4 linked regions of the Lonchura striata genome follow. Each later gene encodes a partner of the first gene's protein in a complex. Links are inferred from orthologs where the notes say so. Each region holds a gene or a part of one and is shown in the gene's direction. Other genes may lie near its edges.

Region 1 (7,527 bases):
GTCTGCATATCAGTGCAGCTGACAAAACCAAGCAACCATACCACTACACAAGTCATAACATTTCCGCAAATAGAACTAGAATAACAATACACTTGCAGAATTATCTGTCATGGGTGGAAACTTAAGGCAGTGCCATTATAATGAAAGGAAAAAAATCAAGACAGTTCAAGAAGAGCAATATATTTTTAGTTAGAAAGGGTACAATGAAAGATGAAAGCATCTACTCTTTTTCTGGTTTTGGAAAAGAATAAAGCAGTGTATGGTAAAGCTGTCTAGGGGACTAAATGGGTGGGAAAAATGGAGAAATCAGAATCAGTATTGCTGTGACAAGCTTCACAAACTGAAACACTTGCTACCATTTGTGGAGGTCAAGCTTTCTTCCCACAAAGGATTAAAAGAATGGTTCTCCAACCCAATTTACAAACAGGTAAGAAAACCTGTGACCAGGGCAACTCCATTTTTATTGTTGCAATACGTTTTGCAACAATATTAGTAAAGGAAAATGTACTATATCCAATAAAAAAGTCAGAGTAAAGCATCATCATTTTAGCAAATAAATGAAGATCCAGTTTCACTATGCTACAGCCTGACAGTTCACAGTAACTATTCAGTAACAGTAGAGATCATAGAGTATATTGAGTTGGATGGCACCATAAGAATCATCAAAATCCTATGGTTGGTCCAGCATATGACAGCCCCAGGAAGCACATCATGTATCTGAGGGCATTGTCCAAATGCTTCTTGAACACTGGCAGATATTTCAATACTCTAACAATTTGCTGGTCAGGGGGACATAGTGATAGTTGGGATACAACAGGATTTCTATGTCCTGTGACTGGGTCTTCCATAAAAGCAAATACAAGGTATTACAGCTACACCTACTGCCCTGATGGGATGGATCACATAAACCTAAGCTGAACCTTATGCCAAATCTTTATCTGTCTTGCACAAAAAATATTTTGGATTTACAATTAATGATACTCTAAACTAAGGCCCTGAAATGTCTATTTAAATATACATCCAATTAACAGGAAGTGTAAACCATTATAAAATGCAGACTTAACATCAACCTCAGCATTTTTAAAAATCTATCCTAAATTAAAATTCAGTTTTAAATTTTAAATTTTAAATTTTAAATTTTAAATTTTAAATTCAGTTGCAAAACTCCATCAAATGAAGAATTGAGTTTAAGAAGTTAGAGTGCACTTCAAAGACACTGCAGTAGAAAGTTATCAGATGCCCTCCTTCCTGTTACAGTTTGCTTTTCAGAGGCAATTTTGCATGAGTTATAGTGTAAAGATGAGCTATAGCCTCCTCTAATATTCAGTTGCCTGAACTGACTTTTGCATGACCATAAAAACATAGCTCAGCACATCAGTCTCATATATCCTAAAGACGGTGTTAAAGTGAAGCCACAACGTGTTCTGTATCCCTCCCCCCAGCTAATTATTAAATGACTGTTTCTATAGATTCACTACACCCCCAATCCCTAAATCTTAAGTACTTCTTCAAATGCAGTGTTTTAAATATACTGTCCATCTGTTCTGTGGAATTTACCCAAAGCTTTGTTGGTAACAGAGGTGCTAACAGTGAAGCATGAAGCATGAACTCCTGTGGTTGGCTTGTTGAACAATCCCTTGCAGCCTGATGTGTTTCACCTCATGCACTCCTTCACCTGCCTTAGAATGCTGCTCAGCAAATTGGCTCATCAGTTAGGATTGAAAAGCAGAGGAGAGGTTGCCTGCTCAGAGCAGTTTCTCTAAAGGATACACAGTTCACCAATGGTTTGCATTGTAATTCCTCCTCCAACATGTGACTAGACACAGGTGACATTGTAATATGACATGACAAAAAGGGACACCTCTCCCAAATATAATCTAATCCCATGAGAAAGGAAGATTTTACTTTAAATACTTCTAATTTCCAGCAGTGTGATGTGGAAGGATAGTTGGGTGAGAAGAGACAGTTACCACATGAAAATAAAGGAATAACAAAGTAAACTATTAAGCTTCCTAGTATTAAACCTTACTTAAAAACCCAGTTTAAATTTGCTTCTAGAGCACGTCTTCATCCCTTCTCCCTGCCCAGTGTTCCCTCACCCAGCTGAAATCAAATACCAATACCAAAACAAAAATAGAAATGAGGCTTGTGATGAGGGAAAAAAGGAAAATATTTGTACCATTAAAGCCTTTCATGACTGAGGCAGCACAGATGTTATACATTTGCCCCAGCCCTGGTATCCTGTTTTGAAAACCAGCAACAGATTTCTGATTCACCAGTCACAAAGGGTGTACGTACTTTCATTGCCTGGAGGCTTTCCACTGCCTGGGATTGTAGTTCTTCCCTCTTCTTGACACCTCCAAAGGAATAGATCAGTGAATTAATCAGAGTTAAAACCCCTAGCAAAGCAGAAACAAGACTATTTTTAACTTATTCCCTGTTTCGGTTCACCATGCTGCTCCACAGACAGCACAGCTGAGGGTGTGGTATGAAGGGAAATGGACTTGTACAAGACAGTTGGGAAGCAGGAAACCTTTCAGACACCACTGTCATTAAAGTCCATGTTTGATGATACTCAGCTTGTGACAGGGCAGCTGCTAAGATCTGGAATCCTTCTCACTGCAAAAATATCACTATTTCTTTTGTGATGGAGTGCTGAAATAGGTGGCTGCCACACTCCTCTCACCACAAAGGACACAAGTGACACACATGCTGCAAAGCCTGGAACTTCCAGTCTGAACAGTGATTGCAGGGGTAGCACAGGTATGCTTAAATACATAGGGGTTAAGTGATAACCACAGTTATGTTGTATAAAGAACATTTAAAGTCTCAGCATATAAGAATTTTGTTTAAAAGCCAGTCACAGTATTCCAGTTATTAATTACTACAGTACCAACCACTGGAGTGTCTACTGACTGTGCAGACAGTTAAAATATAGCAGGACAAATTATGACTGATGTTTGGCTACATCAGCTAAAGAGTAAAAAGAAAAGACTGCTGTTAATCTAATATGGAAAACACAGGCAACATCAAGAGGAGATTGGGGAACACCAGTAAAGTTTTAGACTTTTCCTTTGAATGTGCATTAAGCTAAGGCTTTATAAGAAAGGCTCTGGAGCAGAGACCCTCTGATCTCATGCTCATGCTGAGCACTCTACACTCAGGCCACCACTTCCTTGCAGTTCTGCATCTCAACCCTAAGGTAGGTTGTAGCCCACCCAGATAAAAATGTGCTAGTGTTTCTTACTATGCCCTAACTTGAAGAATTTCAAAGTTATTTTATCTTAACCACTACATTTTTACATAATTCTTCACATTATGTTGGTACATTAAATATATTTTAACTTTATTAGGGCATTTCTGAGGTCTTCTTCGTACCACTTCTCCTGATCCACTACTGACTACTCCTTTCACTGTGCTGGTGTATTTCTTAATGGAGAAGAGGAATAAAAAATTTTGGCGAGGTGGATTACAACCCGGTAATTGTTGATTCAATCAAGGACAAGGCCTAACAGTGAAGGATAAGACAACTGCAGCAATTCCTCCACAGGAACTGAACAATAATACAATTTCCCATTGATTTAGCTAGTTTATTTCCAGAAGGAATTTCATAGTCAGGCTGTTGACCTTGCAGTCCTACAAAACCATGTCAACAGACAAAAGCATTTTAAACTCCTCAGCAGAGGTTTGACATGGAACTGGGAGAAATCGGTTTCCCACAGCCCTCCTGATGTCCTGCTCATAATCTGTGTATAGAGCACCCACCAACAGTGGTTTCTCCAGCTGTGCAAAAGCAGGGATTCAGTCAGGGAGGAGCACACAGGTCCTTCTTTGGATGAGTAACCATCCTACAAACAGTATAGTCTTAATGTGCACCAGGGGAAATTCAGATTGGACAGTAAAAGGAATTTCTTCACAGAAAGGGCGATTAGATATTGAAAGGAAGGAGGTAGTGGAGTCACTGTCCTGGAAGCGTTTAAGGAAGGGCTGGACATGGACATGGCCTTGTGGACATGGTGGTGTTTGGGCTCGGTGATCTCAAAAGGCTCTTCCAACCGAAGAGATTCTGTAATCAATCAGCAACTGCCAGTTACTGATCCCGGGTGATTACGGGGTTGTTTCGGAAGACAGGAGTCCTTTCCGTGACGGGGGAAGCCGCAGCAGTCGGGCTGGACCGGCGGTGCCGAACCCTCCCGCCCGGCCCCGCTCTCCCGCTCCCGCCTCCCGCCCCCGGCCGGCCGCGCCACGGGCGCCGCCGACGCGCCCCGCTCCGCCACGCGCATGCGCGGCGCAGGGAAGCCTCGCGAGAGGAGGGGCGGGAGGCGGTGGCGGCCGCCCGGGGCGCGCCGGCGGTGCCGCCCGTGTGTCCCCGTGTGTCCCCGTGTGTCCCCCGCGTCCCCCCGCCCCGCGGCCGGGCCATGGCGGCGCCGCTGGCCTCGCCCGGGCCCCGCGGCCGCTTCGAGCAGGAGCAGGAGCGCGCCGTCCGCGCGCTGGTGCGCTGCGTGACCAGCCTGCCCGAGGAGGAGCTGGGCGGAGAGCGCTTCCAGGCGGCGCTCAGCTTCGCCTGGTCCAACTTCAGGTCAGCGGGAGCAGGGAGGGTCCCGGTGCCTGCCGCGGGCCGTGGGACGGGGCCGGGCCCGCCGTGCGCCCTGGCTGCCGCAGCGCCGTCCGCCGTGTGCGAGTCTGCCGCGGGATCTATGTCTGCTGCTCCGACGCGCTTGGAGCTGGGTCTTTTAGGGATTTTCTCCTGCTCTGCTAGAAGGTGCCTTTCAGCGTGTTCATTTAGCCGCCCAAAACTTCGTTGCAGGGAGATTCATTATGGTTGTGTATAAAGAGCAAGCGAGGAGGACTCTGCCAAATTGAGATGAACCTTCTGGCTAAGAAGGCTGTGCTGCTTGTGTGAGAGGCTTATCGGTCTGCTGGAAGAGAACGTGTTTGGTGTTATTTGGGCTTGTCAGAAGCGTGGTCTTCATTAATTTGCAATACATAGTAGTAGCCCTTTAGACTGCCGCCTAAACTGCCCTTGCTCAAGTTTCACACAGTTTTCAGTTATCACAGTTATTGTTCCAGTGTATTAACCCCCTTGAGCTGGACTCGATGATCCTTGTGGGTCCCTTCCAGCTCAGAATGTTTTCTGTGAAAGCTTCTGAAACTCTTACACGATGTATTTTCAATTACCCCTACTGTCACTAATTGCTGCCTCTTTGAAATCGTATGCAGCTAGTAGCTAATCCATGCAAAATCAATACTACTTTACATTTTTCATCCTGATTAAATGCGTTTTTGGAGGAGCAGTAGCATAACTGCATTGCATCTGTTAATCCTAACTACTAATAGGCTCAAATAAAATTATTTTAGCATGTAAATCGCACCCTCAGTTTGGGTTGAGGAAACCCTCAGGTGGGAAGAGGAAGGTTTTTTAATGACAGAATCGTTGTCCAAGAATGTGCATGGAACATCAGCCTGAAATTATCTAGTATTACGTTTACAAACAGTGAGACCTTAGGTTGTATCAGAAACTCTCCTTTGTTTTGAATTTGTGAAACTTGTGATTTGTATTGTTAGATTTGGTGATGTTTCTGTGCTGTAGTTCTTTGATCCACCTATTTATTTCCATGCAGCACTCTAATACTCTTCTATTCATGATGTTCCCAACTTGCCTAAAAAAATGATATTTTTTTGCATGTATGTTAGTCATTAATTGAAGCTTTTAGTAAGCGACTAAAGAATTTTCACTAATAATTTCCCTGCAGCTTGATTTTTCTTTTCAGGACAGATTCTTAATTTAATTTTTTATTGTCTTTTTAGTGTGATATTCTAAATCTTCCAGTTCTTATACTTACCACGATTTTGAATTAATGATTTCCTATGTAAGCTAATGTGCTGTAATAAATTATATATTTTCTTAAATCTAAATGCCACCTACTTAGAGCTATATTCTATCATGCTCTTATTCCAAATCCTTATACACAGTTGAAATCAGCTTAATGTGTCTGTAGTTAACAAAGTATTTTTTTATTTTCTTTAACATGGGTCTATCTTCATCCTGCAGTGCTACTTAATAAAAATCCTTGCTAGCTGCCTTAGAGTTTCACTTTCTAGTTCATTACTTTTGAATTGAGGTTATTTCATATTTCTTTTGAATTTCAGTCTATTTAGCTTAACTGTTGCTCATAACTGGGATTCAGCAGTTTTTCTGTCTGTGGTCATGAGAATATTATCACTTTCTGTCACCTGTTGCTGGAAACATTGGTTTTATTTTGAGGGCATATAGAGTGTCTTGACCTTGTGCTCAGTGCTATCACATCTTACTCCCTGTCTTTTAATCTCTGTATCTGAAGAACCTATTCGTAGCTTAATTTAGTCTCCAAAGTCCATTTTACCTTTCACGAGTTCCTGTTTTGTCCCTATACGTATATATACACATTTGTAGGTATATCTATCTTTATTTTTGATCAAGCTCTCTTTTCACTTAGACATTCTCCCTTATCCATTAAAAAAGGAGCTTCTTTTGGGTTTAGAGGCCTTCCCATGTGGGTGTTTGTTTTGCCTATGCCTGTGATGCAGCTCCCAGATAATTTTGTGCCTTTGACACCAATGCCTTTGACAACATAGTTCTTGATCTCCTTGATCTACTTGACATAGCAGACAGCATACTTTAATTGCTTAGTTTGCTGGTACAGTGGTAATTTTCCATTCAGCTTAGAATGGTGGTTAGATGTAACCTGCATTCAATTTTTTTCTACTTTTCAGGCAATTATATTTAATCCTTCTTGAGCTAAGAGATGTCAAGATTTAATTTTATTGATACTTAATGCTGTTGCTGAATTAAGTGTGCATTATTAAACCAGTAATATTGTCTTCATATACGTAAATCAGCTTTATTTTCTTCCTTACTTCAGCTTCCTTTTAAAAATATTCTAATACAGATTTCTTATACAGATTTCACCGTTTTCTTGATGTGAACAGTCATAAAGTAGAGAGAACAATTGAAGGGTAAGTTTTATGTCTATATATTAATAATGCATTGGTTTTATATATATTTTTAAAAAGCCTTCTTGATACTATTTGTGTTATTAGAATACATGAAAAATTGGTAATTCATTCTGACCTTGGAAAAGCTGCAAGCTGGAAAAGATTAACAGAAAAATTTCTGAACTTGCCGCTCCCAAGTACTGAAGAAACAAAGGTATGTATGTTGCAATTTCCTTGTTCTTTTTTTCCATTCCTTTTGCATTTACACTGACAGTGTGAGCTTCAATTGTAACGTGTTGGAAATTTCAGATGATTTAGTAGTGGACTTTGGAGTTGCTGTTCAGGTCATGGATTTCCAGAAATCAAAATTCATCTTCTCAGAGTTTCAGCATGTGGAGTTTCATGACTTAAAGTACACGATCTCATTGTAGAGCAGGTGTTTTAAAGTCAGCATTGTACAAATGCTGTAGCTGGAGTCTAGGTGAATCTGGATTCCTGTCTGTACTAAAATAAGAATGAACTGAGAACTCCTATAGTTTCCATATTGAGACT
Region 2 (7,556 bases), on another chromosome or scaffold:
CATTCAGATTCCCAACCTACATGCCATCTTTGGATCACGCTAAAGACCTACATAGGGGTAATATGCCTAAATCTTCTAGATTTTGTGTGTTCAAAGTCTCAGTAAAAAAGTCTTCTCTTCCCATACTTACAGCTAAATACATCTCATGTCAACTTTTTTAGGTATCATGGACCAATTTAACAAATAGGAAATGTTTCATACTGTTAATAAAGCAAAGGTTAGCTTATACCTAAGATAATTTCAACAACAATCTATGGTGCACTTGTGAGACCCCAGCAGGAACACTGGCATCTTCAGCACAAAACCTGCTAGAGCACGTCCAGAGGTGGGCAACAAAGATGCTCCGGGGCCTGGAACACCTCTCCCACAGAGGCAGGCTGAGACAGTACGGGTTGCTCAGCCTGGAGAGGGCTTTCTCTGTGGTCTCTCTGTACTTAAAAGGGAGCTTATAAAAGGAAGAGGGAAATGCTGATAGGACAAAGGGGAACAGTTTAAAACTAGAAGTGGAGAGATTTAGAGCAGATGACAGGAAGAAATTCTTGAACCAAGAAGATAGTGAGGCAGAGAAGCTGTGGCAGCCCCATCCCTGGAATGTTAAAAGACCAGGTCGGACCGACTGTCGCTTACAACATCGCCCCTCCACAGCACCACGTTTTCCTCCGCCGTTGGTCATTTTTGACGCGGTATAGTAGCGTAGGTGAGCCCGCACATCGGACGCTAAGATCCAAAGCCTCCCTCTCCATAGCAAGCCCACGACAAGGCAATGAAGGTGTCAAATGGGAGCGGTGTTTCGCCCAGAAAATCGGGTGTGGTCGCCAAAATCGGCGGGAAGGCGGAAGGCAGGGCCGCCCCCGCCCCACCCCGCCCGCGGCGGACATCTTGGGCGAGGTGCAAGGCTCGCCCGCGGCAGACGACGGCCGCACAGTCATGGGACGTCGCGTTGCTGCTCATCCACTGCCTTCTCCCAGCACTCGTCTCCAACCCTCAGGAGGACTGTCGAGCTTAGACAAGGTCCCGCGCGGCACGGCGCTCATCTCGCGGGAGGCGCAGCTCGACAGGGCCCGCCAGGAGAGCCGGCGGGGCACACCGTGCCCGAGGGGCAGTCCCGGAGCCCGCGGCTCCCCCCATGCCTGCGGTGGCCCAGCCTCCCCTCACAGCGCTGAACGCTGGAAAGCACGGACGGCTCGGACTGGGCGTCGCTTGGCGGCCACGCGGATTCCCTCACCCCGGGATCCCGATACTTACAGCCATAGTGGGGCCGGGACACGGCCAGCCCGTCCACGTCCTCCGCCGCCATGGCGCTGCGCTGGGCTGGGGCTAGCGGGAGCTGGGCGCGGCTGTTCCTCTTCCTGCCGCACCGGGTGTGGCGGGGGAGGAGTCGCCCCGCCGCGCTCTCTCTCCCCGCCCCGGCCGCACCCGAGGCGTCCCCGCCACCTTCGGCGCTGCTGGAAAGGATGAGTTGCGCAGTCCCGTTCCGGCCGGACCCAGGCCCCAATCTAGCTCGGCCCGTCCCGTAAACCTGAAGGACACGGCTTGGCCGTCTTGTCTCTCCCCGGGGTCCCTCTCCCTCTCACAGGGCCAGCGCCCTGGCTCTGAATCTGTCTGTTAGCCTCATAACTAACACCCAGCTAAGCTCTCACCTAAACTCTGCCAGCATACGCGGGACACAGCCCAGGTCAACCTGGTCATGACCCACATTTTACCCTCTCAGCCCAGCCATGTGTGCGCAGCCCACGTGCGCCCCACTGTGTGCAGTACAGCTCAGCCTCCAAAGCCCGGCTGCCTCCCACATGCTGCTTCGCCTAAGCCCTCTTGCCCTGCCAGGTTCCTCAGCTGCATAGCCCTTCACAGTAGCAAAACCTGGCCTTGCTGGATGTAGCATAAACAGCTCTACTGACCAAACCATGGTAACTCATATGAAATGTCAACCACAAGTGGAAGCAGTGGAAGCCCCTAAACAATAGCAACATCCAGCAGCACTGCCACAGGAGAATCATGCCCTGAAAACTTCCTTCCCCTCAGTACATATTACTGTTGCTTTGCCTATTTCTTGTTCAAGGGTCAGAGTACTGACAGTGTCAGTCACCAGGTGTCCATTTTAATTAGTCACATGAATTTCACTGCTAGGGCATACATTTACTACCTAAGTACACATTAAGTAATTTGGAAAACCAATAGCCTCTGTTAGGAAAAGCATCCCCAGCAGGCAAAGGAGTCAATCTATCATTCTCATCTTCCCAGATGTGGATTCAGTTTCAGCTCCCTCAGTACAAGGAAGACATGGACATAATGGAACAACTACAGTGAAATTGATTAAGGGCTTGGAGCATCTGACATATGAGGAGAGCACGAGAGAACATGCCAAGAAGCAGTGGGCAATGGACTGAAAAATATAAAAAGTCCCATTTCAATAGAATAAAAAATAGTTGTATTCTGAAGGTGACTCAACACTGGAACAAGTTACCTAGAGAAGTTATGGAGTCTCTGTCCTTGGAGAAAATTCAAGCCTAACTAGGCATAGTCCTGGACAAACCTGCTTGAGTTCACCTGGTATTGAGAAAACAAGGTGGGACTGGAGACTTCTAGAGGTCACTTCCAAAATCAGTGATTCCATGAGCCCATCAAAAAGTATATTTACTTACTATATATACACAGGTAACATGGAACAGGACAAGAAGACACAGCCTAAAGCTGTGCCAGGGCAGGTTTAGCTTGGACATTAGGAAGAATTTCTTCACAGGAGGGGTGGTGAGATATTGGAATGGGCTGCCAAGGAACGTGGTGGAGACATCATCCTGTAAGTGTTAGAGGAAAGATTGGATGTGGCACTTAGTGCTTTGATCTAGCTGACAAAGTGGCATTCGATCATTGGTTGGACTCAACAATCTTAGAGAACTGAATTGATTAAAGGAAGACATAATTCAATGGTTACAGAAATAACTACATTGGGAAATGCCAGACATAAATTACAAAACAAAAGGTTTTATAATACAGTTAGGATTCTATTTATTAACATTTGCATTACTTCACATGTAGCCACTTGTAAGTTATGCAATGAGAAGACATTTAAAATAATGTTTATATGTAGAATGTGGCGTGCAGAATTCATTTTGTTCCCCCTAAAAATCTCGTAACATTTTTGCACAGTGCCACAAACCTCCCTCAAAAACATCTCATTCTGATAAGAAAAATAAAACACGATTATTACATGTCATCAAAGAACCTTTCTGAACCTCTTCAAAGCTGGACTCAATGGTACCTATAACAGCTCCCCTGATTTAAGATTTCTGGTGCTTGTTATCGACTTTGCAAAATGTTTTTATTAAAAGTTGTGTATCTGTGTGCCTAATTTATTGCCTATCCTGTTCCTTGTCTTTTTCCCCCCTAGTGTTTAATGAGCACTAGTCAGATGGCCCTGCAAATATCATAGAGATACCTATTTTTCTCTCATTTCAAAATTTGAGCAACCAAAAAATTCTTTTAAGATTTTTGCTTTAATGACTAATCACTAGGTTTCCCAGAGAAAATGAGCACCGAAATCCTTTAAATAAACTACTGTTATCTGTTCTTTTGCAGAGGTTTCCAGACCAATTGTATACTGTGATATTTATGTCAAGGATGCATAACAAATGTCTAGGCCAACTCCTCAGTCTTTATTATGATGCTAGAAGTTTTGTCAACAGAAAGACAATAGTTTTATTATACTCCTCATATATGATAAACAACAATGTTGGGGCTTCCAATTTACACATAAAGCTGTATAGCTATAGCTAGTACATGCCCATATTCTTCCTACCCTTCAGACCTTATTGTGGCAAGCTGAAACAAATACAAATTAGATGACCCTTAAGACTAAACACCAATTTCTTCTAAATGAAGAAGAGTAAACATGTACATAGAGGAAAAAACTGTCAAAAATAGGGGGGGTAAATGAAAAAGAGGCTGCTAAAAAACACTTTATTAAATGACTTCATAGTTTTCAAACTAGACAGTTTTGAATAAAAGTCTACCCGGATTACGACAGGAAGTGAAGGAAAGCAGTACATAATAAATGGAGAAAGGTAAAACTGGCGCTGATAAAACACTGACAAATAACCTGAGAAAGCGATAAAGAAACCTCGTGAGGCGTATCGTAGAGGGCAGCGCAGCTCTGCTGTCCGGGACGGACGGTGGCCATCAGAGCCTCGGCGGCGCTGCACGCCGCAGCCCCGCCCGGCGCTCCCGGCGGCCCCGCCGCTCCCGGCAGCCCGCGCGGCGCCGCGCCGCAGGATGATCCACGAGCTGCTGCTGGCCCTCAGCGGCTACCCGGGGGCGGCCTTCACCTGGAGCAAGCGCGGCGGCCTCCAGGTGTGGCACGGCCCCGGCAAAGCCCACCCCGCCCCGCCTGCCCCCTGCCCCCCACCCCCCGGCCTGCGCGGCTCGTCCGTCCGCCCATTCGTTCCTCACCGCTGTTTTCTCTTCCAGGTGTCTCAGGAGCTGCCGTTTCTGCACCCCAGCGAGACCAGCGTCCTTAACCGGCTCTGCCGCCTCGGCACCGACTACATCCGCTTCGCCGAATTCGTGGAGCAGTACACGGGACATGTACAGCAGCAGGTGGGGTCACTGGGCCGAGGTATTGCCCGGGAAGAGCGCGGCAGGTGCCAGTAAGGCCAAGCTGCCCAGGACACAGCAGTGGTCCGTGGCCCATACCCGCGCTCGCACCACCACCGAGCAGAGCTCCAGAAAGCTCTTCGCGATGCTTGTAAGGGAGGGTAGAGAGCAATGAAGAATAATGAATCAAATGTAAAATCTTATTATTGGGGACGTCTTGTAATAATTTCTGACCACAGCAGACTGGCCAGGGTTTGTCAATTGAGCGGGATGCTCATGACTATCTCCTCATGATGTGCGAAGAGCCTTGAGATCCAAGAGGCACACTTAAGTGAAAAGAAGCACTGGTACCAAAGGCTCCCAGCACTTTCAGAGGTCCACAAAAGAACTAAACATCAGTCTGCTCGAGTAACTGTCATTGTGAAAAGGTTGTATTTGTTTTTCTGATCACTTTGTGGTGAGCTAAGGTGCATTTCAACAGGTTTAAAGCACTGACAACTGCTGTGGCACTGCACAGATACTACATTACTCTTCAGACTTGCACGAGTATGCTGAGGCAGATTTTATTGTTTGGTTTCAGGATCACCATCCATCTCAGCAAAACCAGAGTGGATTGCATGGCATTTATTTGAGAGCCTTCTGCACAGGTCTTGATTCAGTGCTGCAGCCTTATCGACAGGCACTACTTGACCTGGAACAAGAGGTAAAGGAGAGAGATACAGAACAAGAGGCTGTAGTGCTGCTGGCAGATTGTGGAAACTTGTAATTTCTGCAATTAATATGTTAGTAGTAGTTTCTAAGATGAAACAAGGTATTTTCCTTTCCACGTTAGGAATGCCTTCCAAATTATTCCTGTGAGATGCCATTGTAAATTACTTTTCATTCTATTAAGTGTTATCCTCTCTACCTTCAATTCTGTAAGGGCTCCATCTCTGTTAGCCCAGTGCTGTCTCAGACTACTGTGGCTTCTGTTTTCAATTTTAGAGGTTTTGATTAATCTCTGCTAGACTAGTAGCTGTCATACCTTGGGTAGCGTCACCATTTAGTGGTTGTGATAATTAATCTTCATTAATTGCTTTATCTTTATAGTTTCTGGCTGACCCACACCTTTCCATCTCACATGTTAATTACTCCTTGGACCAGGTATGTCGTGTTATTAAAGAAGTAGTGTTCTTTGCTTGTTGTCATCCCTCATTGAGTCTAATAAGAAAGTGGGTGGGATAAACGAGGCTTGTTCCATCATGTCATGTCATTTCTATCTAATGTCTCTACATCTGTAGTCCCTTAATCGTACTCAGAGGATCACCTGCACTTCAGCACAAAACTAAGGTACTCCACCTTGACCCTCACACATTCCTCACTGACTGTGTTTAGCCTTAACTACTGCTGGAATATAGTAACTTTGTGCATCTTGGTCCAGTGAAGGGAAGACATACTTCCTAGAAATTTGCATGTCATGTTTCTAATTTGTGAGGAAAGACAGGTAATAGTTTTATTAAATTATTGTGTTCAGCTGCTGTCCACAGTTACTCAAGTACAGTTTTTTTCTCTCTTCCTTACATAACAACCTACATCAATATTTCACTTGTTCTGCAGTTTCAGTTACTCTTCCCCTCTGTGATGGTCATGGTGGAACAGATCAAAACTCAGAAGGTACAGTAAACTTGCAGTTAGTTTCTCTTAACAGGTTTTCTCTTTAACTGATGAAGTAATTTCTGCCCCCATCCCATATTTCTGAAAGTAGAAAATAATGTCGTTTCAGTAATGGGTGCCCTATTACTAGCTCTACTGTAAGTACTGAGATTATTTTACAAATTCATTTACATTGTATTTGATTTTTTTTCTCTTATCCCATAATCTTTGATGTCTTGAATTTTATAGGACAGGATGCTGGTAGTGGGAATCTTTATTTTCTGAGTCTGTTTTCTCTGGCCATTGCTGGAAATAAAAAAGGCAGAGGCTAATGTTTCGAGAATCCAGAGATGCTTACATTTTTTAAGGGAAAGTATTGAGAGAAGCTTGAGTGTAGAGCCACATATAGAAGGTCTTTTTCATCACTACACCAGCATGTTACATCTTTCTTTCAGTAAGACTTGTTCAGTTTGTGAAGGCATTTTTTTGTTAGCTGAAAGTGTAATGTTTAAATGTATAAAAAGGTCAGTACAGATCCAAATAACAGACCTGGTCTAACCTTTTCTTTCTGCAGATTCATGGGTGCCAGATATTGGAGACAGTCCACAAACACAGCTGTGGGGGGCTGCCTCCTGTTCGCAGTGCTCTTGAAAAGTATGTAGATCCAGTAAAACTATTACTTCATTCTTCTGAAGTTAGTGTCAAAGTGTTTCTTACTTGTTGGAACAGTACGTGCAAAACAGCATGGTATAAAATTAGGAGTACCATGCAGGGGAAGACTGTCACCATCCCCATTATTTATCTAAAGCAGGTTTGTGGTGAGAATGAAGTCTTTCTCCATATCTAAGGCTATTCTGCATATCACTGATCTTTGATCTTTCAAAATGATAAATGTGAATGTGTGAGTGTTGTGATGTTTGTATGTCCTTGTGGAGAAAGTCAAACTACTTAAAACGTCCTGTTTTGAGTAGAAACAAAAGCCATTGCAGACTTACACCTCTGGTATACTAGCAGATTTCCCTGGAGAAGTCACATGTTCAGAGGATACGACTTAGTACTTGCCCTACTGCCTGGCTGACCAACTGAACTTTCTGAAACAACATTCAGTGAGGTTTTGATTATTGTGTGCAAAGGCCTGACTGACCCGTTTCGCTTGACCTCAGGATTCTGGCTGTGTGTCATGGAGTCATGTATAAGCAGCTCTCTGCCTGGATGCTGCATGGATTGCTACTAGACCAACATGAAGAGTTCTTTATCAAACAGGGCCCCTCTTCTGGAAATGTTCTTAGCCAGCCTGAAGAAGATGATGATGACTTAGGAATTGGGGGACTTAC
Region 3 (7,784 bases), about 34 Mb from region 1:
GTTTTGAAATCCTGTATAAGATGTAGATCTTTTCTGTAGACAAACCAATATTTGGTAGCACAAAGTTTTATTACCTCCTCAATAGCTTTTTGCCTTCTGTCTTCTGTCTCTTTATCCATTCTAAGTAACAAACAAAAAACAACTCAATTATCAAAACTATAACATAAGTAGGAAAAGATGTAAAATCCAGCCACATAATACTTTATAGATGCTCAAGAGAAACTTTATAAATTAAATTGCGATAAACTCTAAATATTATGATATTTTAATCTTACGTGCAATAATCTCATACTATAAATTTTTAAATATAAATTCAGTTGATTTGAAAAATATTTGTACCATTTAAAAATACATAATAGCAAATATTCTGTTTACACAGCATATCTGGACAAAAACTTAATTATTACTGATCTTCCAAAATAATGTCATATGAAGGTATCACTATTAAAGTTCACATGAGATTAGACTTGTACTATAAAGCAAGCAGACTAAAAAACTGAGGTGTAAGGAATTAAAGGGCAACTGAAAATACTCCTGGAATTTGCATACTCAAATTCCTGACACAGCCCACTTTCCCAGCACAGAGTTCTCTAGTCAAATACCCAGTCTGCCACAGCTTCTTCAGTACCATATTTTTGTTCTAACAAAAACTATATTTCTTTAAGCAGCTTTTAACTTAATAATAAAAAAAAATATTGTAGTTACTTCAGTTACTTCATGCTATGTGAGATTCTATATTTGTATTTCCTCTAACGGTCACCTTCAAGACTGACTTTCAGTTACCACAATGTAATTTACTGCAAAATTTTTTTAAGTTTATAAATGTTCATCATTTATAAGCTTCAAAACCACTCAGTACTTTCATTCACAGTTCATAAACCTGAACTACCCTTGAGTAATTTTAGAAATTCAGATAACAAGATAGTACCAGACATACAAGCACACATAGATGTGACAAATACATAAACTCTCACAACTCTCTCTTTTATTCTTATCAGACTTGAAATATATGTACAATGTTTGGACATGCCACCTTCTATAACATCTGCCTGATGATGCTAAAATGACAGCTCGATGGAGGACTTGCCAGAGTTATTGTACCAAAAAACAAGGATACAATCACTGTGTATTCATTTATATGTATGCACTAAAATATGCAAGCATGGACATAGCAGATCTACACATAGTCAAAATAGCCTTTTTCTAGTCACAGCAGATGATTTAAAAAAAAATGAACCTTAGTGATTGTGGAACATGGGACAAACTGAAAGAACCCACTGAGACAACACATCTTTATATCTATAGGCCATCCCACTCATCATGACTGGAATTGTCACCCAAGTCATCTCCATTAAAGCTAGTTTGACTGAGTAAGGTTCCAGAAACAATATAATTAAAACATGGCTTAAGGCTTCAAAATATACAAAAAGCACTAGTCTGGGTGCTACCGGGTGCTAAAGGAAGGACAGGAAACATTAAAACCTGGTGACTCAGATACAGTTAGAGTCTGGGAACAGTTATAGTCCTACAGCTTCTACTATTCAAAAAGAGAGATGTAGGTTAGGTCAGACACTAAAACCACTAAGTTATTTCACAGTATTTTTTATTATGTGTATTGAAACACTGGAACAGGTTGCTTGGAGTAGATGCCCCATTCCTGGAAACATTCAAGATCAAGGTGGATATGATTAAGCAACCTGATCTAGAGAGGATTGATTTATTATTCTATTGCTGTAGTGCTTCATACCATGAAGAGAAGTTCTTTCTGCAAGTTTATGTCTGAGAAATGTACAGGAGTCTACAGGATTCACCACTAAGGATCCCCTTGGCATGTCATTCTCTACCACCCGCATGTAAAATTATCTCTCAAGATAAGCTCCAAACACCAAGACTGTTTAACCCACCCATTTTCCTCATGCAGATTTTCAATGAAGAGAAAAAAATTAAGGATAAGGTCCTCAAACTACTTCAAATAACTAGCACTGGAGCCCCCTCCTTCACATTAAGTCTAGTCTATACCTTCAAAAGAGACTGCTGGGGCTTCCCCAGCTAGTTTCCCCAACATGTCTACCCTTCTGCAGGAGCCCCAGGGACCAAAGCCTCACCAAGGAGCATTCTGAGAAGATAAATTGTGTTGTAACAAGGAGCAGAAGAGGTAGCCTGGTAATGATCACTGGCAAGACATTTTCTGCTTCCACTAGCTGCTTTTATTTGGTTGTCTTCCAAACTGCAATCAGAGTGGATCAGCAGCTCTTACCATTAAAAGGAAGCAACATGGAGGTAGCCTCATCTAAATATTATATCCACATCAAGTAAAAGATTGTGTAAGAAGATTTTCATTAAAAGTCTTTAATGCTATGCTGAAATGTTAATAAAGCAAAAGAACAACTGTTCTAGTATTAAAGCTAGGTTAGCTGCATAAAAATAGATTATAACTTACCTAGCATGGCTCAAATACATTCCCTGGCGTCGAATGTCTTCCGAGTCTATTTCCACAGGATTTATTAGAGCAAGCTGATCAATAGACCATCTGAATTTTCCTGGTGTCTAAAAAAAGAAACAGGCATCTTAATGCTTGCTGTTCAAAAAGGGAAAAATAAAACCACAGGACAAATCTAAATGGAACAATACAACCACAGCTTCCATATAGTTTCTGTCAAAAGCAATCAAAAGTGTTTCTATTTAAATGATCTATTTAAAAAGAATTAAGTCAGGCTTCTTAAGCTGCTGGTAGTGGTATTACAAGGATTAACAACATAATATTAAGCTGGTATTCACAAAATGAGGTGTCAGTTTCTTCTCAATTCCTATGGACAGGTCTACTAAAGATGCATAACTTCACGCAAACTGAAATTGCTTCTTCAATCCAAACGATGGTTCCACAAAAACTCAGTATCCTAACTAAAGTTATCCAAATAATAGAGCAATCCCATTTCACTTCCCATTTCTAAGAAGACCAGAGCTGCAATTCCTGTACATTCTGCAATGTCTCCCTCATAAATGCCATACATAGGACACAACAAAATCCAATTCAGAAGTAAGAAGCTTCACCCCTTTATTTAATAAGGTACTGTTCAAATATATTTGGAAAATTATCTACCAAGTGAGTCTTTTCAGTTTCATTAGCAGATTCACCTCTACTGCTTATCAGAAAATAATTTCAACTGCAAACCAGTATATAATTTCCAACAAAAAAAAAAAAAAAGGCAGCTATAGATACACAAAATCATTGACTTGAATACACAAACAGCTCACAACATAAGTGCAATCAAGTTTTGCAACCAGCCTACTCAGCATCTAAGTAGAAACTGGTTTTCTGCATTGTAAGTAGGACCAGAGTATCTCATCAACAACTAGCCTTTATCTACTTTCTACTGGTTTTAGCACCCAATCTCTAATATCTAAAGACAAAATAAATTTAGGCAGGGAGGAAGACTAAGTGGCAATATTAGTATTTAAAAGCAGCACAGTTCTGTGAAGAGAAGAAACTCCAAATGCCACCGAAGTTCTTTAGCTTGGTACATATGTTGAAGTACACTAAATAAAATACCCTTAATGCATTTGAAAATATTAGCACTATATCTTTACAGTCACATAACTAACGACTAGATCTTACAGATGAGGATTTCGTTGACTTAAAGACTGAAGGACTGGAAACAATCTGCTCCTGAAGAGTGTAATAATCACTGGGACTTTCAAAAGGATTCAGGATCGTGACTCGTCCGGGAGTTTCTGGTGCTATCTGCATTTTAGCTTCTTCTGTATCACCCATAACACCAAGCTATACCTGAAAAACAGGAGAACAAAATTAAGGAAAACAATGAAATCACACTTTTGACGTTTTAGGGCCACCCTGAAGGCTTTGGGCAGAGAGAATTAGTCATCTGAAGGCACTAGCAACATTTCAAAAACGAAGTTAGGACTGGTTGGACTTAATGACATAAAGTTCATAAATAAGTCCGGTACAAATTACAATTACAAATAAACAGAAACTACGACGACGAGTTAAGAAAGAACGTGAAAAGAGGGATTAAGAAAAACCAAGCAAACACCCAAATAAGGGCAAAACAACAAGGAAACAAGCCAAAAAATCCAACAAACAAACAAACAAACAAACAAAACCCAACTAAGCACCAGAAGTGACCAGGCAGCCCCAGCGGCCGGGGCAGCAATAACGCCCCGGGCGGCTCCCGCTCCGTCCGGGCACTAAAACCGCCCGGCCTCCGCCTCAACGGGCCGGGGGCGGCCCGGCCCTCGCGGGGCCGCGGCGGGGGGCTCCGGCCGGGGGCGCCTCCCGGGCCCCGCCCGCCAAGGGGACGGGAGCCCCGGGGGAAGCGGCCCCGCTGAGCACCTTCTCACGCTTCTCCCCGGGACGGTGCCACCGCGCCGAGCCGCTCGGCGCTCTCCCAAGCCCCGCCGCCGCGGAGGCGCTGCCGGGCCCGCCGGGAATGCCGAGGATGCGGGCACAGCCCGCTGCTGCCGCCGTTACCCGGCCCCGGCCGCCGCCGCGCCGCTCCCGCCGCCGCCGCGCCGGGCGGCCCTTTAACCAGCCCCGCCCCCTCTGCGGCTTCTGACCAATCACGGAGCGCAGTGTGCACAGTCGGGCCAATGGCAGCGCTGCCCCTCTCTCGAACGGGCCAATCGCCAGCGCCGCCGCCGCACGAATTCAAAGCAAGCCCGCCCCCGCCGCGCTCGCGCTGCGCCGGGACGTCACGTGGGGCCGGCGGGCCCGGGCGTGCGCGGCGCGTTCCGGTTCCGGGCGCGGCGGGGTCGCCATGGCGAGCAACGCCGCCAGCCTGAACGCCGTGAGGGAGACCATGGACGGTGCGTGACACCCCCGGGCAGCCACTGCTGAGGGAGAGGGGACGCCTGGCCCCGCCGTGGGCCGTGCACAGGGACGCGTCTCTGGGGAAGAGGGGCGCGGGTTGCGGCTGCCGAAGGATGCAGCGTGTAGTTCTTGTTTCACTCCGTCTCACTTCGCGAAACAGCTCAACCCCCGCAGAGCGAGTGCCTTTGGAACTGACGTGGCTTTTCCTTTTTATGGTTTTGTTTCGTTTTTAAATTTCGCTCGGTATTTAACATAGAATATTAGGGGTTTTTCAGCGTCTGTATATATTTATATTTGCTCTCGTTTCCCGTTATTTGTATCGGTTGCTGTAAATGCCGAGCCTGGGGCTGGCAGTGCGCGGGAGGGAGAGGAGGGAGCGGCGCTGGGCCGGGGTCAGCGGCAGCGCCCGCGCCGACCGAGCCCCGACCATTGTTCTTCGTGGCTCATGTCAGAAAAACAAAGTACACGGCAAAAAAAACCCTCAAAACAGCCCAAACTGCAGTAATAGTGAAAAAGTTTTGAGGACGGTAGTCAGTGCTGCAGAGCTAAAATGGATTCTGATATGGAAAAAAAAGCAACGACCAACCCCAACCTCAGGTGCTGTTTGTTGTGGGATGGGGAATGTGAGAGAAGGGGTACTGGGAAATACTTTGTACACTGATAAGCCATGAGAAACGTGAGCAGGTGAGTGAGTTTCGTGTGCTCATTTTCAGCCTGACTAGAAAGGCCGAGGAGTCAAAGGATGGCATGTTTTGGAATTGTTTCGCACTGTAGTGTGAAACTCTGGAATTCCACAAAACGCCTATACCGAAAGCTTATATGCAGGGTGGAAATCTGTTGAGGGTTGTTAAATGTGGAACCTTTCTCTGAAAATGCCCTAATGAAGGGAGTAGAGTCTAGGGGGAATGTTTCAGGGATAGTGATGTGAATTTATTTTCTCAGCATCCTCACTTCCCTTGAAGTTACGGCTGCTGTTACAAATGGGTCTTTTGATACAGACTTTCATGAGTTGAGCTGGTGTAAAAATTAGCATTTCAGCCACTGATCTTCATGCTCTGACCTGCTGCTGGAAGCAAGGCAGGACTAGTAGGATCATTATGGCTTCTCTGATGCTGCAAGAGGGTAAAACCATTTTGTGCAGATAGAGAGTGATTTCTTTGGGAAGGACAAAGAATATAAGTTCTGGTAACTGTACTTGACAAATTCACTCTTTCAGGAATGATTTCGACAGGAGGGACAACAGGCGGATATAAAGACAAAGTAAGGCTTTTGAGAATAGATAGGGAAAGTGCACTAATGTTCAGATTTAGGAGCCCAGGCTTCCTGTGTAACTATATTTTATTTAGGATAGATACAGAAATTTAGCAGTTGTTGTCTGCAAAGTTGTTAAGAGCTCAGAATTGTTGCGGAGAAACTGCTGCGTCTCTCTGCCAAAGACACTGCCTTAACACCCAAACATTAGAAAGACTTCATCAGTATCTGGAGTCCAAAAGCACAGAGTGTTCTTATAGCCCACCTTTTACCTAATTGGCAGGTGTAATTGTTGAATGTTTCACTTTTTTTTTTTTTTACTCTTTCAAAACCTATTATCCAATATTAAATTTCCTGAACCAGGAAAGCATGGTGTGTATGTTAGAAGCTGTAGGTTTTAGCTTATGCTGGAAGGTTGAGCATAAACATTGTTGCAAACAACAAAGGACACCTGCTATGTTCAAAGTGTTGAAGTGCTGTAGAATCTAAATGTTGATGAAGAACAGTCTTGATCATTGAAATTTCATAGTCTGTAGGAATTAAAGCGCTTTATTTTTTTTTCTGTTGCAGTTCTGTTTGAGATTTCAAGAATATTAAACACTGGCTTGGATATGGAGACATTGTCTATTTGTGTGCGGCTTTGTGAACAAGGAATAAATCCAGAAGCCTTATCTTCTGTTATTAAAGAACTGCGGAAGGCTACAGAAGCTCTAAAGGTAATGCTCTAGTTTAAAAAGCTTATAAATCTGTTCTTAAGAGTCAGATGCACATGCAACTTGCTGTACTTCAGTTTGCAGATTGTACTTTGATATGACTCATTTTAGCTGTTCAATAGAGGAGGCAATGAAAACAACTGAACATGAAACAGGAAATGGTACAAATAAAATGTTTCTTAGAAATACAGTAATTAAACTAACTCTTCTGAAGAAAAAAACACAACCAAAATTCACAAGTTTTTATTATGGTCTCCATTTGTCCCCTTACCTGCATAATATCACAAATAGATTTTTCCTTTAACCAATACCCCCTCATTATTACAACCTCAGATTTAACAGTATGCAGCAGTATTTGTAAACAGGAACATCCAGCTTGTTAACATCATCTTAACATATTGCTTTTCCCCCTTTAACCTGTGCTTTGAGCCTTTCCCACAGAAAGAGGGAATTTTGTGATGTGTATATATATATATATATAGGGCTTTTCATATATGTGTATTTTACCTGTTTAACTACTAGAGGGGTAACCATGGTTTTTAAAACAAATCTCACTTGCATTTTAAAGGATTATCATTCTTTACTGCTTAGCTAAACATCACAGTCAGGGATTTTTATTACTGCATCTTATATTAGGCTGTTTATGAGAAGTGAAAGGGGAAACCTATATCTTGCTTCTATTCTGGAAAACTTCATATTTTATTTTTAACTTAGTATTTTTCTATGCTCATGCATATTTTGTATTTGTGTCTATGTTTAAAGGTATTCTTATATATGCATTTAACTGTATATAAAGAATTGAAGGTTGTTTTACTTCTTCCATTGCTTTCACTGGTTTCCCATTCCTTTTGCTTTCCTTCGCCTGTTTGTCCCATAACTGCTTTAAAATCTACCAATGTCAGTCTTGAACAACTGTGCCTTGTTGACTGTAGTTATCCAGTGATAAAATTACTAATATTCTTAATTAAATAATTGTTAGTATGATTATGCAG
Region 4 (7,523 bases), on another chromosome or scaffold:
GTCCCTCCCGGCCCTGGGTGGATCCAGTGCCGCTGCTCAGGGACATGGCACCCCTGTGCACCCCTGGGCTCTCCAGGGCAGGCAGGTCCATGTCCTCCTAACAGTGCACAATCTCTGGAGAGATGGAAAATTTAAGTTTTGGCTTGAAATACGGATTTTTGACAGCCACTGGCCAGCTGGGAAATACTTTGTTGCCCATGGACGCTGGGAAAAGCTGGTGGCCTAAGAGACAATCAGTAACTACAATTTGTTTCCCAACAGCAAGGGTGGGCACTCGAGGACCCTGGGCTCTGGGAAAAAGGAGTTCCCAGGTCAGAACTCCTGAACACAGTAAGGAAGAGCAGACTGGGCTGCTGCCCAACCTTTGTACCACCACACGCCAAAGCCTGCAGGCATCTCCAGTAGCGTGGGGCCTGCTGCTTGTTCCCAGATATCCCAGTGTGGGGAAAAATGCCTCATTCGGGGCTTTAGTGTTGGGAAGTGACTTTTTAGTCCCTGCTGAGAGATGTCCCTGGGCAGTTGTGTGGCTGCAGGGTTTGCTTGCTGGAGACAGCACTCTCCAGAGCCCACGGAGCAGGGATTAGGGCTGGACAAGCTGGATGAGTTTTAAACATAGCAAAGCTTTTTAAAACTTACTGGGAAATCTCCTGCATCTCCGTAAACATCATTCCCTGCTCCCATTTGCAAGGATTTTTCAAAGCCCCTTTGATCTTCTATTCCTCACAGAGAGGGGGAAGGGAAAAAAAATTAAAATTATAGATCCTAAGCTTCTTGGATAAACATTGTTCCAGAAACCTCTTTTTTTCCCCTTGTGCACAATTTTTGAGTGTCAGGATTCACCAGGACCCCAAGATCAGTGGCTCTGTTTCCAGTTTTTTCCAGGAACATGAAATTACAAAGGAAAGGAAAGGCAAGAGGGAAAATAACCTCCATCCCAACCTGATTTTGGCACCATTTGCAGCAAACGAAGGGAGGTTCATTCCACACATCTGACTCTCCTGGGCTTCAAAAAAGCACTTAAATTGTCTATGAAGCAATTTTGTAAAAAATTTCTTTTATTTATTCACCTGGTTGGAAAACACTTTATTTGAACTCCCAGTGAAAATGCTTCTCCTGGCCCAGACAAACTTCTCAGAGCAGGTTCCAGGGTGCAGAGGAGACTTCAGTGAGATGGAGGAAGGCAGAACTGAGGACCAATGAGGTTTTTTCTCCTCGTTTTCTTTTCTCAGTTATTCCAGCTTCCATACAGTCACGTTGGCATCTTGTAACTTCTTGAATCCATTTTTTTACCCTCAAGAGGCAAAAAGTAAAACACCCAGTCCCATGCAGCCTCAGCTGCAGGCTAGTTTCCTTAACACTTCACCACACGTTCTGGATTCCCTTTCCTCAAATCCTGAGGACTCTTAACTCAGTTGGGTGCTGCCAGTTCTGTTTGCCATCAGGAACATGTGCCCAAATGCTGGCAGAGCTTTAACTGGTTTGGGTGGTTCATTCCATGGAGTGGGAACTGGCAATATCCCTGGTGGCACTGGCTCCATGCCTGCTCATCTTGCACAAATCTGCTGCACCGACCTTCAGACCTTTTTCCGTGGTCCTTTAAATCCTCGGGTGGCACCTTGTCCAAAGCAAATTGTGGATGGGATCCTGGAAAGGGAGACAGGCTTTAATCCATGTTAGGAGCCCAGCCCTCACAAGCTCGCTGGGATGCTTAATGCTCTGTGGGGCATTTTAAGCTCCCAGACTGGGAAGAGCAAGGAATTGGAGGAGCAGGACATGTAAATCACCAAATAATTTAAAGAACAGGTGAAATACTGGTTGGATTCCAGTGTACTCTGCACATTCCTGTCCTGGAGGGCTCTTTACAACAAGGTGTTACTAAATATAACACCTGGGTAGCTGCAGTGGTTGAGGAGCAGGAGAGCAGCAGCAACATCCTGCAATACCTTGGGAAGAGATCAGGTGGGCAGACAAACACAGCTCCCACAGCGTACCCATGTCCTGCTCCTCCTTACACTTCCTTCTTTCAAAAATGGCTTTGGAAGCACTCTTGGGATTCCTGCCTGGTTTATCCTCAGCACAGCAACACCCCAAGGCAGGCTGCAAAGGGCTGATAAGATGGAGTGCTCCCAGCCCATTTTGCCCCTGAGGCCAAAGTACTGACCTGGATTTGTAGAGGCGTTTCTCTGGCAGCGAGGGGCCAGGGCTGGCTGCAGGCTGGGAGATCTCCATGTTCTCCTCAGGCCCTGTTTCCATGGCATTCACTTGGAATTGCTCTGCCATCTCCACGCTCACATCCATGGGCACGCTGCTGCCCTGCTCCATGGGAGAGCTTGTGTGCTTGGAGCCACTGCAGAGACAAAATTTTACATCCTGGCTGAGGAGCTGCCATGTGAGCCCAGAGCCAAGGAAGTCAAAGGTACTTCATGAGGAAACAAGTGCATCTAGGATGGATTCCTTCCCAATATCCCATCTATCCCTGCCCTCTGGGAATGGGAAGCCATTTCCCTTGTAAAGAGTCTCTCTCCATGTTTCCTGTAGCTCCCTCAGCCACTGTAAGGCCACACTTAGGTCACCTCAGAGCTGAACAATCCCAGTTCCCTCACACTTTCCTTGCAGGACAGGAGGAAAGTTCTGCAGTTACCTTTTCACCTTCTTGGGCCTGTCAAAGCGAAAGTCAGCAGGATAAAGGTGCACGGTCACCAAGTGATCCTTCCTGTCCTTGCTGCTCTTGAACTTCTCTGGGCAGCCTTCCACCAGGCACTGGTACTGAAAGGCAGGGAGGAGAGAGGAAAAAAGACATAACTGGAAAAAAAAACGAGCATATACCAAGCACGAGGCAAGGGCTGGGCATGGCAGCTCACCATATTTTGCTTCTCAGCCATTATCTGGAAGAGGGAATCATGCCACTCCAAGATGTGGATATCCAGGAGATTCCCAGAGGGAAAGGAGCGCTTGCAGAAGGAGCAGACATTCCTGTGCAGGGTGTTGTAGTGGTGCTCGTAGCTCTCCAGTGTGTCAAACACCTGGCTGCAGCCAGAGATGTGGCAGCTGAACTCGGACACCCTGCAGGGAAATCAGGACTTTAAGCTGAAATTAAAGCTTTAAATTCAGCTACAAAAATGCCCCCTAGATGACTTATCAGAGAAACCCAGGATGGCTTGGGTTGGATTGGACCACAAAGCTCATCTGATTCCGACCCCTTGCCATGGGCAGGGGCACCTTCCACTAGGCCCACACCTACAGCCACAACACTTGTGGCATTTTTTTGTGCCTAATACTTAAAATTAAATGCCAGGTGCAATGGAACAAAGATCGTGGTGATGCTGGCAGCTGGAAAATTATTTGCCATTGGAAACTTATTAACCATTATGGCTCCTGTTAAATGGTACTTCGGTGAAGAACAAACAAGCCATTAATAAATAAATTAGCTGTCTAAGCTAAACGCTGCAGCTGTGGATGACAACTCCAGTGATTTTTTTAAGGGTTATCCATAGGTGAATCTCACACAGCACTCAAAAGTACTTCCTGTCTGGCAAGACCAAGATTCTTCTCCAGGCTTGGCCTTCCTGCTTGGAGCTGTGCCAGCTGCAGCAGCCCAGAGCAGCTGTGGCTGTGCCTGGACCCCTGGTAGTGCCCAAGGCCAGGCTGCACAGGGCTTGGAGCAGCCTGGGACAGTGGAAGAATTCCCTGGCAGGGTGGGCAGGCCCTGGCACAGGGTGCCCAGAGCAGCTGTGGCTGCCCCTGGATCCCTGGCAGTGCCCAAGGCCAGGCTGCACAGGGCTTGGAGCACCTGAGACAGTGGAAGGTGTCCCTGCCATGGCAGGGGGGAGGAACGAGATGATCTTTAAGGACCCTTCCAACCCAAACCATTCCTTGATTCCATGACGGGAGGGCTCAGACGAGACCGCCTCACTCACTTGGGTCTCTCGGCCACCTCCTGGAGGCTGCTGAGGACGCCCTGCAGGTAGAGATGCCTGTGCACGTCCCCATCCTAGAGAGGAGCAGAGAGCGGCGGTGGTTGTGGGCAGGGCTGCAGAACGCAGCTCCGGGGGGAACCGCGCCGGGAGCGGCCCCGCGGCGCCGCCTCACCTCGAAGAGCGGGTGCTGGGGGCCGAGGCGGAGGCGGCGGGGGGCGAAGGAGAAGGGCGGCGCGGGCGGAGCGGGCGGCGGGGCCGGGGGGTCCCGCGGGAGCGGCGGGAGCCCCTCACGGAGGAGGCGGCGGAGGCGCGGCGGCAGCGGCAGCATGGCGGGCGGGGAGCGCAGTGCGCCTGCGCGGGGCGCGCTGAGGCGGCTCCCGCGCCGCCCGCCGCGCATGCGCGGGGCGCGCTTCCCGGCGCCAGCGGCGGCGTTTCCGGGCGGGCAGGTAGGGATGAGATCGAATTGAATTAAACGGAATTAAATTTATTTAATAGAATGGGATAAGGTCAAGCAGGGTATGGAGGGTGGGCTGGTGCGGGGGGTGCCGGCGGTGGCGATCCCTCCGCTGTGCCGGGTGCGGTGCCCTCGGAGGCCGCTCCGAGTCCAGCCCAGCTCCCGCAGCTTCTCCTCCTTCCCTGCCTTTGGGAATAAAGGTTTGGGTCAGACTAAAGCTCAGGGCACAAGTCTTGGAGAGCGAGCTCACTTGTGCCGGGCGCTGACAGTACACACCCACTTCATAACTACCCCAGGGTGTGGAGTCTATTTATTTATTCCACATATCCCGGCACTTGGGCAGCCCGCGGGAAATCCCAGCGGGATCACGGCCCCAGGTGCTGGGGAAGCTGCGCCCTTAAAGAGATTTAAGTTTGGGCTGCAGCAGCCTGTTCTAACTCGAGTCAGCTTTGAGTGGAGAGTTGGACCACGGCTTGCAGGGATCCCTTCCAGCCGAAGTGATTCCATGATCTTGGCAAAACAGAAGTGTGTCCTTGTGTTTGATATGGAGTGTATCTGCTTGATGCAATCTCTGCAAGGTGTCACATGGAGCTTCTTATTTATCTCCATGGTTCCTGGCTCAGGGTCTTACGTCTGATTTACAGAATCACAGGATTTTCTGAGCTGGAAGGGACCTACAAGGATCATCAAGTCCAGCTCTTAAGTGAATGGCCCATTCCAGGATTGACCCACAGCCTGGGTGGTGTTAGCACTAGGCTCTGACCTGCTGAGCTCATCTCAGGGCTCTGTGTCAGTATTAAAGTTGTTATTTAGGTATTCTCCAGGGTTTGAGTGAATTTAATAAAGTGGGCAGTGGAATAGGAGGACCCCTAAACTTGGGGAAAACTGCTTTGTGGTGATTTCAGAAGCAGCAGTGGGGTCAGCTTGTCAGGACACCAAGCAGTCCTTCCCGCATTCCTTCTGAATGAAAAAATCCTCTGCTGGCCAGCCCCAATTTAAGAGTCTCCCCCAGTCTTAGACTTCCTGGCTGGAGCTGTCCCACCTTCAGCAGCCCAGAGCAGCTGTGGCTGCCCCTGGATCCCTGGCAGTGCCCAAAGCCAGGTTGGACACTGGGGCTTGGAGCAGCCTGGGACAGTGGAAGGTGTCCCTACTCATAGCAGGGGTGGCACTGATGCCTTGAGAAGACTGACATAGAACAGAGCCAGACAGAGTTAAAGAATAAAGCAGGGATTTATTAAAAGGATCTCTTCAGTGGATCCACCTTGGGCAGCACCAGAGCCCAGCCAGGGCTGCACCCAAGATGAACCAAAATGGTCCCAAAATGCACAAGCGCTCACAGGGGCTCTCACTTTGATCAGTTCTGCTCCATTTGTACATTGGAGTTCATTGTCCAATTCCAGCTTTAGGTTATGAAGTCCCATCCTTCTTGGTTTTTTTCTTTTTTTCTCTTCAATTCACCATTGTTTGTGCTCTTGGGCCTGAGATTTGAATCATTTGTCCTTGGTCTCCAGCTAGAGAAGGAATTGTTTTGTCTCCCTCCTCTGTGCAGAGATCTCACCATCCCTTAATGTGAAGCCCAGACCTACACACTAAAGCAGCAGAGAACCTGAAAAATACAAAAGCTAAACCTGAGGCATCAGAATGAGATGGGCTTTGAGGTCCCTCTCAACCCAAACCATACAAGGAGTATCCCTGCTTGATTTGCTTCCTCCTCCTTTATCCCAGCCAAACATCTCCACGTTCCAGAAGCATCTCCCTGGCGGGGCAGGGAATAACCTCTGGGAGCCGGGAATAACCCCTGGGAGCAGGAATAACCCCTGGTTGCCGTGTCCCCAGGGCTGGTGGCCCGAGCTGGGAGCATGAGCGAGTTCCGCATCCACCACGACGTGAACGAGCTGCTGAGCCTGCTGCGGGTGCACGACGGGGAGGGCGCCGAGGTCTACATCGAGCTGCTGCAGAAGAACCGCACGCCCTACGTCACCACCAACGTCTCTGCCCACAGTGCCAAGGTCCTGCCCCCTTCTTCTGGGCACAGCAGCTCGTCCTGTTGGTGTCCATCTAGGGAGAAAGATCTCTGGTGGGGTCTGGGGCCACGGTTCTGGGTGTGAAGTGGGAGGTCTGCGTGGGAAGAGGTGGAATCCTTGAGGGAGAAGAGGATTGTTAGGACTGGGGTGTGGGAAAATTCAAACAAGGAGGTTGTTTTGTGGCATATTGGGAAGGAGTTGTTTCCTGGGAGGATGCCCAGGGAAGCTGTGTCCCTGGATCCTTGGAAGTGTCCAAGGCCAGGCTGGATGGGGCTTGGAGCAAGCTGGGATAGTGGAAAGTGTCCCTGCCCGTGGTACAGGATGGAACAAGATCACCTTGACATTCCCACCCAAACCTTTCCTTGCTTCCATGATGAAATGAAAATTGTATAAAATGCAGTTATATGACTAACATGTGGCTTTTTTCTTCTGAATATCACCCAAATATTAGAGATTGAAGCCTGGTGCTCATGACCAGACTCTTCTATAGCTATATAACTCAGATAGCTTTTATGGCTATAAGGTTGCTTTTTGTTTTCATTTTTAAAAGCAAGCCACCAGTCGAGCTCTAAGTGCTAGGGAGTTTCTAACTCTGTCTGAAACTTGGCATCTTTGTAGCCCGAGCTGCGTGTTTGCTCTAATTCCATTTCATTTTAATTGTAACTCCATTTAATATTAACGTGGTGTTTTACAGGTGAAAATAGCAGAGTTTTCTCGAACTCCTGAAGATTTTCTAAAGAAGTATGATGAGCTGAAGTCTAAAAACACTAGACATCTGGATTCTTTAGTTTACCTGCTGTCCAAGCTCACTGAAGACAAAGAGGTTGGTTCCTTGTTTAGAACTGAATGTTGAAGAATTGCAACAATGCAATGATTTCAAGCCCAGCTTGAATTAAAGTTCAGTGAAATCTGTAAAAATCAACAAATAACCAGTACTAGCTCTCACTGAGTTATTAAAACGCTACTGAGAGTTGTGCTCCTCTTGATATAATTCCCTAAGACATGGAAAACTGGGACAGAGAGATCTGTGGTTAGATTCAGCACAGCCAGGGTATGGCCGTGTGTTTCTTGCTTTAGATTGTACTGCCCAGCATTCACAAAACCTTTTCTTTGTTTGTCTGTGTACAG

What was found.
Region 2: the proteins of TUBGCP5 (region 1) and TUBGCP4 are in contact, whole or in part, in a cryo-EM structure (PDB 9I8M), measured with the Xenopus laevis proteins. The link is inferred for Lonchura striata from reciprocal best matches to the Homo sapiens genes TUBGCP5 and TUBGCP4. Residues at the interface, in XP_018102626.1 of Xenopus laevis: His233, Leu234, His235, Leu238, Ile241, Trp242, His245, His300, Met301, Thr302, Asn304, Cys305, Ser308, Val309, Gln312, Ala392, Ile393, Leu395, Asp396, Lys397, Arg410, Leu441, Asp442, Tyr443, Asp444, Asn445, Val446, Gly447, Glu448, Ala449; in XP_018110859.1 of Xenopus laevis: Met1, Ile2, His3, Glu4, Leu7, Tyr12, Pro13, Gly14, Ser15, Ile16, Gln29, Pro32, Phe33, Glu60, Thr63, Gly64, Ile84, Arg87, Ala88, Arg91, Arg101, Leu105, Gln109, Leu112, Pro115, His116, Leu117, Val178, Gly181, Val182.
Region 3: the proteins of TUBGCP5 (region 1) and MZT1 are in contact, whole or in part, in a crystal structure (PDB 6L81), measured with the Homo sapiens proteins. The link is inferred for Lonchura striata from reciprocal best matches to the Homo sapiens genes TUBGCP5 and MZT1. Residues at the interface, in NP_443135.3 of Homo sapiens: Gln14, Gln15, Asp18, Val19, Glu21, Leu22, Val23, Val26, Ala27, Gly28, Asn36, Ala40, Phe43, Ala44, Asn47, Phe48, Arg52, Phe53, Leu54, Phe72, Lys80, Ser83, Trp84, Leu87, Thr88, Glu90, Phe91, Ala106, Ser109, Ile110; in NP_001065243.1 of Homo sapiens: Glu23, Val27, Leu28, Glu30, Ile31, Ser32, Ile34, Leu35, Asn36, Thr37, Leu39, Leu44, Ile46, Cys47, Val48, Arg49, Leu50, Cys51, Glu52, Gln53, Ile55, Asn56, Pro57, Glu58, Ala59, Leu60, Ser61, Ser62, Val63, Ile64.
Region 4: TUBGCP5 (region 1) and TUBGCP2 share a complex: the UniProt entries of both Homo sapiens proteins name them as parts of the gamma-tubulin ring complex. The link is inferred for Lonchura striata from reciprocal best matches to the Homo sapiens genes TUBGCP5 and TUBGCP2.

The regions. Positions count from the first base shown.
Region 1 is NC_134604.1:84,368,263-84,375,789, forward strand, and holds the start of TUBGCP5 (gamma-tubulin complex component 5), read left to right. Parts: upstream 1-4,402; 5' UTR 4,403-4,418; coding exon 4,419-4,579; intron 4,580-6,942; coding exon 6,943-6,996; intron 6,997-7,080; coding exon 7,081-7,189; intron 7,190-7,527. UniProt on the Homo sapiens protein: Component of the gamma-tubulin ring complex (gTuRC) which mediates microtubule nucleation.
Region 2 is NC_134613.1:24,617,474-24,625,029, reverse strand, and holds the start of TUBGCP4 (gamma-tubulin complex component 4), read left to right. Parts: upstream 1-4,228; 5' UTR 4,229-4,269; coding exon 4,270-4,347; intron 4,348-4,464; coding exon 4,465-4,593; intron 4,594-5,170; coding exon 5,171-5,293; intron 5,294-5,679; coding exon 5,680-5,733; intron 5,734-6,186; coding exon 6,187-6,243; intron 6,244-6,796; coding exon 6,797-6,876; intron 6,877-7,385; coding exon 7,386-7,556. Other genes in the region: ras GTPase-activating-like protein IQGAP1, read right to left, coding at 1,246-1,297. UniProt on the Homo sapiens protein: Component of the gamma-tubulin ring complex (gTuRC) which mediates microtubule nucleation.
Region 3 is NC_134604.1:50,634,543-50,642,326, forward strand, and holds the start of MZT1 (mitotic-spindle organizing protein 1), read left to right. Parts: upstream 1-4,728; 5' UTR 4,729-4,775; coding exon 4,776-4,824; intron 4,825-6,649; coding exon 6,650-6,795; intron 6,796-7,784. Other genes in the region: BORA (protein aurora borealis), read right to left, coding at 75-120, 2,441-2,547, 3,617-3,772. UniProt on the Homo sapiens protein: Required for the recruitment and the assembly of the gamma-tubulin ring complex (gTuRC) at the centrosome.
Region 4 is NC_134609.1:37,381,044-37,388,566, reverse strand, and holds the start of TUBGCP2 (gamma-tubulin complex component 2), read left to right. Parts: upstream 1-4,319; 5' UTR 4,320-4,363; intron 4,364-6,096; 5' UTR 6,097-6,230; coding exon 6,231-6,380; intron 6,381-7,089; coding exon 7,090-7,218; intron 7,219-7,523. Other genes in the region: ZNF511 (zinc finger protein 511), read right to left, coding at 1,575-1,644, 2,162-2,347, 2,642-2,766, 2,862-3,063, 3,918-3,991, 4,090-4,314. UniProt on the Homo sapiens protein: Component of the gamma-tubulin ring complex (gTuRC) which mediates microtubule nucleation.